Caenorhabditis elegans: one gene and its partner. The protein of the gene in region 2 interacts with the protein of the main gene of each other region in a biochemical or structural test. Each region holds a gene or a part of one and is shown on either strand. Other genes may lie near its edges.

Evidence for each region.
Region 1: of the proteins of frpr-18 (region 2) and flp-2, one has a biochemical effect on the other in vitro, tested with the Caenorhabditis elegans proteins (3 studies listed by BioGRID, with this or other methods).

What each region holds. Positions count from the first base shown.
Region 1 is NC_003284.9:10,093,930-10,096,878, forward strand, and holds flp-2 (SPREPIRF-amide), read right to left. Parts: upstream 1,296-2,949; 5' UTR 1,227-1,295; coding exon 952-1,226; intron 746-951; coding exon 700-745; 3' UTR 501-699; downstream 1-500. Other genes in the region: W07E11.1 (glutamate synthase (NADH)), read left to right, coding at 1,605-1,760, 1,819-2,091, 2,438-2,590, 2,774-2,852.
Region 2 is NC_003283.11:6,868,416-6,874,555, reverse strand, and holds frpr-18 (FMRFamide peptide receptor frpr-18), read right to left. Parts: upstream 4,258-6,140; 5' UTR 4,247-4,257; coding exon 4,133-4,246; intron 4,021-4,132; coding exon 3,623-4,020; intron 3,575-3,622; coding exon 3,433-3,574; intron 2,777-3,432; coding exon 2,651-2,776; intron 2,536-2,650; coding exon 2,405-2,535; intron 2,348-2,404; coding exon 2,219-2,347; intron 2,170-2,218; coding exon of another isoform or gene 2,133-2,169; intron 1,931-2,132; coding exon 1,844-1,930; intron 1,602-1,843; coding exon 1,530-1,601; intron 1,086-1,529; coding exon 986-1,085; 3' UTR 747-985; downstream 1-746. UniProt on the Caenorhabditis elegans protein: G-protein coupled receptor for flp-2 neuropeptides. May act through the G(q) alpha type of G proteins.

The DNA of each region.
Region 1 (2,949 bases), on a different chromosome or scaffold from region 2:
CAAAACGTAGATAGACATTTGTTCTCAAAAAAGAAAGAAATGACAGAATCCGATTGGTGCCTGTTGGTTGAGATGCCACCTTGTCGAATTTGTGAAGCGAAGCTGATTAATGAACTGAGCTTTAAGGAGGGGGGATTTTCTGTTTTTGAATAATTAAACATTATTTTTTGTCAAAAACGTCACTTGTCAGAACGCGAGAAATGATTAAGTAGGTTGAACTAATCTTGTTCTCAAGATTGAACAGTGTTTTGAAATTAAAACGAAAACTAATAAATCAAAGCTTCTTGGAAATTCTAGCACCTTCCAAAGTCACTCCACATGTTTAATTATGAGCACTCATTGACATTTCCGAAACAATTCTTTGAAGAACTAGCAAGACTGAATTTTAAAATTTTGATCTTGAAAATAGTGTGCCTCGTTTTCTGACCTAATCTGGCTAAAATCTGAAATTCAGTGCCAGTAGTCGTTTCCTTTGTTCGCGAAGAAAACGTAAGACTTGGTTAACAGATGGGCTATTATTCCATGCGGAACCCAACCACTTTATTCGAAGTTATAGGAAACATAGTTTAAAAAATGTTGTTGCATTGAAAGTACGGATCAAAATATAGGACGAGAATGGGAAGAAAATGTTGGAATATCTAATATGATGTTGGCTGAGTAGTGGGGTTCACCGTGCATTGAATCATTGATAGGATGGAGTTATTGGAAGTCGTAATCTGGCAGCGGATTGAATCGTTTTCCGAAACTGAAAATAATAAAATAAATTCTATCGATCTGCAAGTGTATTAAACATTTTTGTAAGAAGTGATTCTAGTAAGAATACATGACGTTTCCAAATATGTGTTTGGGTTTTAAGCTTGATTTATGTTGTTTTTCCAAATTTTGAAAAAAATTCGGAAACTTTTAAACTACTTGATATACTTCATATCATCAATTATCTCTCATACTCACCGAATGGGCTCGCGCGGGGAGCGTTTGCCAAAACGAATGGGTTCTCCACGAAGACGTTTTGCCATTGCTGAAGCTTCGAAAATTCCAAGAGTGTTGTCGTTGACAGCTGGCTGGGCGACAGTAGTACCCTTTAAATAAGCTAGTTGGCCACGTAATAACTGATCCCGACTAGTGGGAATGGGGAGTATCCGCTTTGGTTGCACAAACTGGAAGGGACTTACAATGACGGCGAGAAGGACGAGGAAAAGAGCAGATAGGATTCCAGAAACTTGCATGGTTTGCGACAATTGGTTTGGCAACGACTGACAATGAGTCAGACGAAAGCTCTGTGTGCGGGTGTGTACCTGAAAATGGAGAGCTTTTTCACACGAGATCGTTTTTGGCAAGAGATAGTAAAACGAAGAGCAGATAGAAATGTAGAGAAAGTGGGTGATGCGTGCTCATTAGCTCGTACAGATCGGATTACAATGTGAACTAGCGTCAAAGAGCGTTGGGCGAGAGCAGTTGCGCAATAACATCTCATCATGTAGAAATGGTGATTTTGAGTGAAGACGTGAAAGATCAGACTAGTGAAGCACGCGCAAAAGTCTCCAGAGGAATTAAATGAATTGCAATAAATAAGTTATTTTAATTATAATCAATGTACTTTACAGGATCGTCTCAAACCCGGACGCATGCTCCTTGTGGACACACATCTCAAAAAGATCGAGCTCGATGAGGACCTTAAGACAAGAATTGCTTTGTCAAGACCTCATAAGCAACTTTCCGCATCGAGAATCTACTTGGACTTGATTCGCAAGGATGATGTGGTTAGTAGTAAAAGACAAAAAAAAAATTGAATTGTGACAAATTTTAACTAATTTTTAGCTCTCTCACGGTGCCGTCACCAATGAATACCTTAATCGTCTTCATTTGGAGCAGGTGAACCCTGGTCTTATGAAGAAAAAGGATGTTCATCTAGACTCTGACCGTCGTCTGGCCTTGTATGCCTATACCCATGACACTTTCAGCTTGCTCTTAGTTCCAATGATCAAGGAGAAGAAGGAAGCTCTCGGGTCAATGGGGAATGATGCTGCGTTGGCTTGTCTGTCTGATTACAGCCCGCTGTTGTTCAGTTATTTCCAGCAACTCTTCGCCCAGGTGGGTTCATAAGCAGAATGGGAAAAAATGAGTAAAGAGAGTAACCAACGGTTCTTCGAAGTTCAAATCTAGAAAAGTAGTCGGAGGCCATTAAATTGTTTTGACTTCATTCGCATACTCCTCCTATTCTATCCATGTAGTTGATTAGAAAAACAAACTTAAGACTGCCCAAAATCGTAATTTTGAGGAACGACGACTTTTTTTGGAGAAATGTATTTTCATTTCTAAGCTTGTTTAACTATGACGTCCGAGTGAAAGAATTAGAAAAAATTGTTCATGAAAATATGTATTAAAAAGTGAGAAAAGTTCCTGGTAGAGTGAACACAGATTGAGCACTTGATTACAGGTCACCAACCCACCAATTGACCCTTTCCGTGAACAAATCGTCATGTCGTTGAGATGCCCAATTGGACCTGAGTCTAACATGCTTGAGCCAGACACCGAACTTGCCAGTCGGCTCATCTTGGAGCAGCCAGTTCTTTCAATGGTTGATATGGAGGTTGGTACATAAAGGGGAAACAAGGAAGAAGATCATACAAATGAAAAAACCAGAGGAGAGCTAGCGCATTTATAGTTTTGCAATTATCTGAAACTGGCTCCAAACTCCTCCTTTGTTTGTCTTGTTGGAATTTCTCATGACGCATCAAATCAATCATTATCATCTTCAGTATTGCAATTTCAGGTCATCAAACGAACTATGTACAAGGGATGGAAAGCAAAGGAAATTGACATCACTTACCCAGTCAAATATGGAGTGAAAGGTACTAAAAACATGAGGATGTTAAGGAAATACGTTTTGATGGGGCTAATCTTCAAGAAAGTTGCAATTTTTGCGGGCGACGATAGATAATTAGTGGC
Region 2 (6,140 bases):
TTAACCAAAAACAAAAAGATCAAATAAAAATATTTCCGAAGCTCCAGATAATACCTAGAAGCCTAAATAGACTCTCCCGAAAAATTGAGCTTTAGTGAAAAATTCTGAACCACATTTTACCGACTTCGTAAATCTGAAATTTTTAGATTGAGTTAAAATAACGAACTTTCAGATTTGTTTTCAAAACAATAAAGCTTCACAAAAATTTTTCAGAATGTTGTTTTCCGAATCTCAAAAATTCGTAAAATCATTGAAAGTCTGCAAAAGTCAGATTTCGGCGCGATTTTGCAAGCTTTGGGAGTATTGCTGATTGCTCGAAAAAAATTTAGATCAAAATTTACCAGCTCCAGAGTACTCAACTACATCTAATTTTTTTGTAGTGACTTATTGAAAATATTATTTGAAAAAATATTGATATGGTGTGAATTCTACAATTACACAGTTTAAATTTAAAAATGCCGCAACTGTACAATGAGTTGAAATCGCAAAATAGTAGCCGCCATAGACCGGTTTTGAACTTGTAAAAAGTGATGTTTTGAAGTATTACCTGTGCATGTAAATGTAAATCTTAATCTCAAAAATATTTTTAATTTTCAAATTGGCAACTCTCTGCAAAAGAAAAAAAAAAGGAGCCAACCCGCCACACATTGAATGTCCGCTGCTTTTGTGTGACACTCGAAAATTCATTGCTCCCTGGAGTCATTTGTTCCCTACCACGCACTTTCATGTACATTTGAGGGGGCATTGGCTTCAACTTTTTATTCTCACCGCCAACAAATATATACACATTTATGCTTGTCTGGTGGAGAAGATGAGGCAAAAGACAAACGAAGAAAAAAAGAACAAATGAGGCAACCCGTGTTTGGAATTTGGAATTGTTCGTATGGAAGAAAGCTTGGAAAGATCGGTGCATAGGAAGAAATTGGCGATAATAATAATAAAGAGACAAACAAAAAAGCTACAAGTGAAAAGAAAATGATAAAATCTAGCATGGTTGACATGGAGAATCGGGTTCTCCATCTGGAAGGTCCTCACTAAAAGTGATAGTGATTTCAGGCATCCCACGATGTTCTACAGCCGACATTCTGGAAATTTTCATTTAAAACGTTTGTATTTGTATCTCGACTATTCAGATTATCTCTTCAATCTTTCAGAACATTTCTGGCAAGTGTGACGTCACTCATATTTTATACAGTAACATCACATTTCAAAAAAAAAAGGTTCCCATGAGTTTCGGGAGAGAAATAGAATGAAAAGATCAGCTTACAGCTTTGACAAAACCGTAAGGTGATACAAAACTTTAACGCCATTTTTTTCTAATCACCAATCATTTAAATGTATCATTATTTGGCAATTCTTTTTTAATTTTTAAATTTTTTTAAAAGTATTTTATCATTGAAACTTTATTTTTGAAAATTTCACAGATTTTAAAACCAGAAAGCTAAAGTATTTTTACTGAGATTAAGAAAAAACAGCAAAATTTCTTGAAAATTAAAAAATTTATAATCAGAATTTCAAAAAATACTCACTTATGTAGTTTCTTCTTCCTCTTCTCGCTCGGCAATTTTGGTAATTTGTGCTCTTCGAAAGGAGCAAGGTGTCTGGAAAAAATTTTGTTGGGAGTTGTATTACAGTATTTTTTCCGCCATTTTCCTTTAATTCAATTTTTTTTAATTTCTGAAATTATTTTCAACTGGAGATAATTCTCCATTGACGTTTCAGGTTCAGATTCGTGTAAATAAAAAATAAATGAAAACCATTATCGAAATTTTGCTAACCCAAAAAAAAGGTATCTGTTTAATTATATTTCTGAACATTTTTCGAAATCAGAAAAAAAACTAACTTGCAAGTTCGTTCGTTGTACTCCGACGAGAAGCGTTCGCTTCTTTTCTGCATGTAAATTGGTTTGAGAAGAACGTCCGATGAGCGGCTGAAAATTTTAAAAATTAATTTGAGTTAATTCTCAAATCATGCGAGACAGAGAGGAGAGAAGTTAGCGCATTCGGCTGAAAATTAGTTTTCATGATGCAAGTTTTTGGACGGAACATAGAATTTTATAAGCTCGTGCACATATTAGTGAGAAATTGTTATTTATTTCGTTTTTAAAATAATATTTTTTGATTCATTTTTACCTCCGACAGATGCGCGTTTAGAATTGGCTTTCTATAACTAAAATTGATTTATTTTAACAATTTGAATGGCCTGGCTCATTGCATACCTGCTATTGCTCATTTTAGATCCCTGTCGTTGAATTTGACCGCCCGTCTCGCTTGAAATTCTCATCGAAGCCGTTCTAGACATGGCTGTATAGTTGTTGTAGTCGCTGACGGTTGCACAACATCCATTCCTACAAAGACTTATTGTAGTCTTCAATTTTTTGAAATCAGAAGTGTAAATTACTTACTTGAGAATAAAAACTAAAGTTTGCCTGTACTTCTCTGAGAAAGTGAAATAGATAATGAAAGTTGTACCCGAGTTAAGAACCACTAGAAGATTAGATAGATCATTGAGCCAATATGCCAGTCCCCGCGTGCTCTGCAACAATTTTAAGATTGAGTTTGTTGACATCGAATCACGAGAACCAGGGCTTTTTGTAGTAACAAAACGAGAGAAGTGGACAAAACACGCAATCACAATGACTTATTCAAACCTCGTCTTGGAATAATGTCGGGAAAATGCTCTCTGAGACGTTGAGAAGGAAAGGAAGAGTGTTGCAAATTGCGAAAACAAATGTGACGATAAGTAGCATTACTGTCGTCGACTGTTCCCGTTGTTGCTATATTATTAACAATTTGAAAAAAAAATTGAATAAATCTTTTCTTAAAATTTTCTTCTAAAGCTTGAAGTATAAAGTTTTTCATATTTATTACCTTCAGCAAAAATAGCAAAATCAAGTGTTATTCAAGTATGTGGAAGGAAACAATTCAGAAATGTAGAACGAGTAGTTAAACTTTCAATAATCAGGAAACTTACACAACAATTTTTGATTCAAAATATGTTATTTCAATTTGAAATACATAGCTTAACATATTTGAACGAGACTGAATTTACATGACCTTCCGGGGGAATTCGAATTTTATTTTGGTTCTTGCATATAAAACTGTGCGCAATAACATTTTTTTTTCACTAGAAAACAATTCTAGAACACCAAAAATATGGACGGTAATCCAAATTTAAATAATTTGTTAACTGTATTTTTCTGTTATAATTTTTTCTATAGCATTTCTATAGCATATATCAACCCATGAACAAAAATCAATTTTTTTTTAATTTTCAGAGGGCTGTAATTGTGTTCCAATATTCAGTTCAAAAAGTTTTGGCTTGAATTAAACTTTGAAATTTAAAAATAATCAATTTACCACAACACTTTAGAATGACAATTTAAGAAATTTGGAATGTCTTTATATTTTTAAACATTTTAATTCAAAATACCTGTCTTGTGAGCATCTGCCGTGTTTTGCTAAGTTTGCACATTGCAACTATCACATGCCCATTTGCAAATGCCATAACAGAAAATGGCACCAAAAAATGTGTGACAATGTAAAGAATTGTGTAGTAGCCAACGTAGTACCACCTGAAACATTGTTACTTTCTTTTTTTCAAAATATTTCTGAAACCCTACCTATGCTTTCCTGGATCTCTCAGCCATTTTTCGTATAGCGCTCCACTTTCCGTCACTACAAATCGATATTCGAAAAACCGAACGAAATTGTACAAGAAAGCAGACACGATGATGACGAGAATCGCGTTTCGAGATTTTCGAGGTGTGCACCAGACTCTAACTTGTAAAGGTCGACACACGGCAACCCAACGTTCGAGAGTTATCATCACCATTATATAAACGGAACACGTCTGCATCATCAAGTTGATTGGATAGATGAGCTTGAGAATATATGCCATATATGTTGAAAGTGATAAATCGTTAGCCCATAAATCGAGATTTGGGATGACGAATATTGGAATTGAAAGGGTTAATAGTGAAAAGTCGAAGAATGATAAAGCACATAGAAGTACATTTACCTGAAAAAATTGAAGATTGATTATTTGAATGTATTTTTTTAGCAAATTCTAATTTTTTGGTAAATGCAAATTTCAGAGTAGAAAATTTTAGTTAACATTTTAAAAAACTCACTGATGAAGATCGCATATGCGGTCTGCTGAACAAAATAAACGAAAGTGAATTTCCAAAAATCCCTACCAGCACAATTACCAGGATGGCACATGCCATCAACTGCTGGCTTTCCATTGTTCTGAAAGGTTTTGATTTTAGTCGGACTGGTCGAGTCAAGAAAAGTGAGGCTGATTCAAAGAGCAAAGAAACTGACTTGGTCAGAAGAACAGAGCTGGATGAAGGAGGAAAAAGAGGAGGGAATAGTACAATTTTTTGTAGTATAAGACATTGGTAAACAAACTATTAAAATACAATTTCAGTCTATGTTTCCAGCATTTCTGCCACCTTGCTGAAACTATTAAAACTAAACTGTTTGGAACAAAACGCTCCGAAAATGTGAACCGATTACAACCGGATGGCAGGGTAGAGACCAACTTGTGTCTGATAGATCGACTTTTCCCATGTTACTCCAAGTTTTCTCCTGAATAATCACGTGAAATGTGGGATGAAAAGGTGGGAAAGCGGACGGGACAAGACAAAAAATGAATCATGAATTTTCGGGATGGATGGGATGGGTGATGTATGGAAATCCGAAAGTATTCAAAATGTAATGAATAGATGCAAATTAGCGGTATATGCACATTGAGATTTTGTAATTGGGTTCGTTTGAAATCAGATAACTCGCGGAAATTATCTTGTGAACGCGTGATCAGAGCTCTCTAATTTTGAAAAAAAACAGCATTAAAAAAGCTTAAAAATAAAAGAACAAACTTTTAATATTTTTGTTCCACATATTCTCGAGAAAAATATATCATACTCTTAACTTACAACACGGTCACCGTAATGACAAATGACATACAAAGTTTCAGTAGGACTCGAACCATAAGAGTATTTTGTTATAAAATTTGTTGTTTTAAAATGGAACATATAACTATTGGGCACTTTCAACATCATTAAATCAACCAATTAGCGTCAGGCGTGGCAACCGACACTGATTAAGTGCCGATCTGGTTTGCGTGGTAAATTCAAACTTATACATATGTTTTCTATAAAAAAATTTCAAAACTTAAAATGAGTGAATAATAGTTATAGAATTTCTTCATAATTTTGTCATAGCCTTGTGAAAAATTTCAGGAGATAATCGTATCGCTATATGATTTTCATCTAACAAGGAAAGGAAGTAAATCTATTCCCGGACTTTAAATCGAGACGTATGTCATTTGAAAGCTTATGTTTAGAATAGAATAGATCACCACAAAAATTTCAGCGGCGGAACTCAACACTGAATCCCTGAAATCGCTATCTGAAAGTGCTCCAGTGCATTTTTTCGCTGATTTCTATGTCAAGTAAATGACCTTAAAAGGGGTTCTGAGCCATTAGAAATTGTTTTTGGGGGTTTTTGGGGTCTAACAAACAATGTGGAAGCTTTTTGGATGGCGATTTCAGGGGTTCAGAGTTGAGTTCCGGCGCTGAAATTTTTGTGGTGATCTATTCTAAACATAAGCTTTCAAATGACATACGTCTCGATTTAAAGTCCGGGACTAGATTGACTTCCTTTCCTTGTAAGTGGAAGAATACCTATATAAATATCTATTAAATTTATGTCAATTCACAAAAAAAGTCTATAAAAACTAGTTTTCCAGTGGAAAATAATATTTTCAGGTTAGTTTTAAAAAACCAATAATATCAGCAAACATGTCACATGAGGAAATCGGAAAAGAGAAACGAACAGGATTATACCGAACTTGAAAACTTTAAAATTGATCATTCTAAAAAGTGGGAATAACCTTCCTGAGTATGTAGGCTGTACTACTACGTGAGTCTCCGCGGAAATATTCTGATCGCATTTGAAATCCACGCATTCATCAGGACTACGAATGAATATGTGGGGACGAGCCCCCCTCCTCACCATCGCCGGCTCACGTGATCTTCTGTCTCCGCTTGCACTTTTGGCAGTAGACTACTGTAATAGCGGCCAATTTTTGTTCGCTACCATTTTTGTATACATAGGTTTGCATTGACATAAACA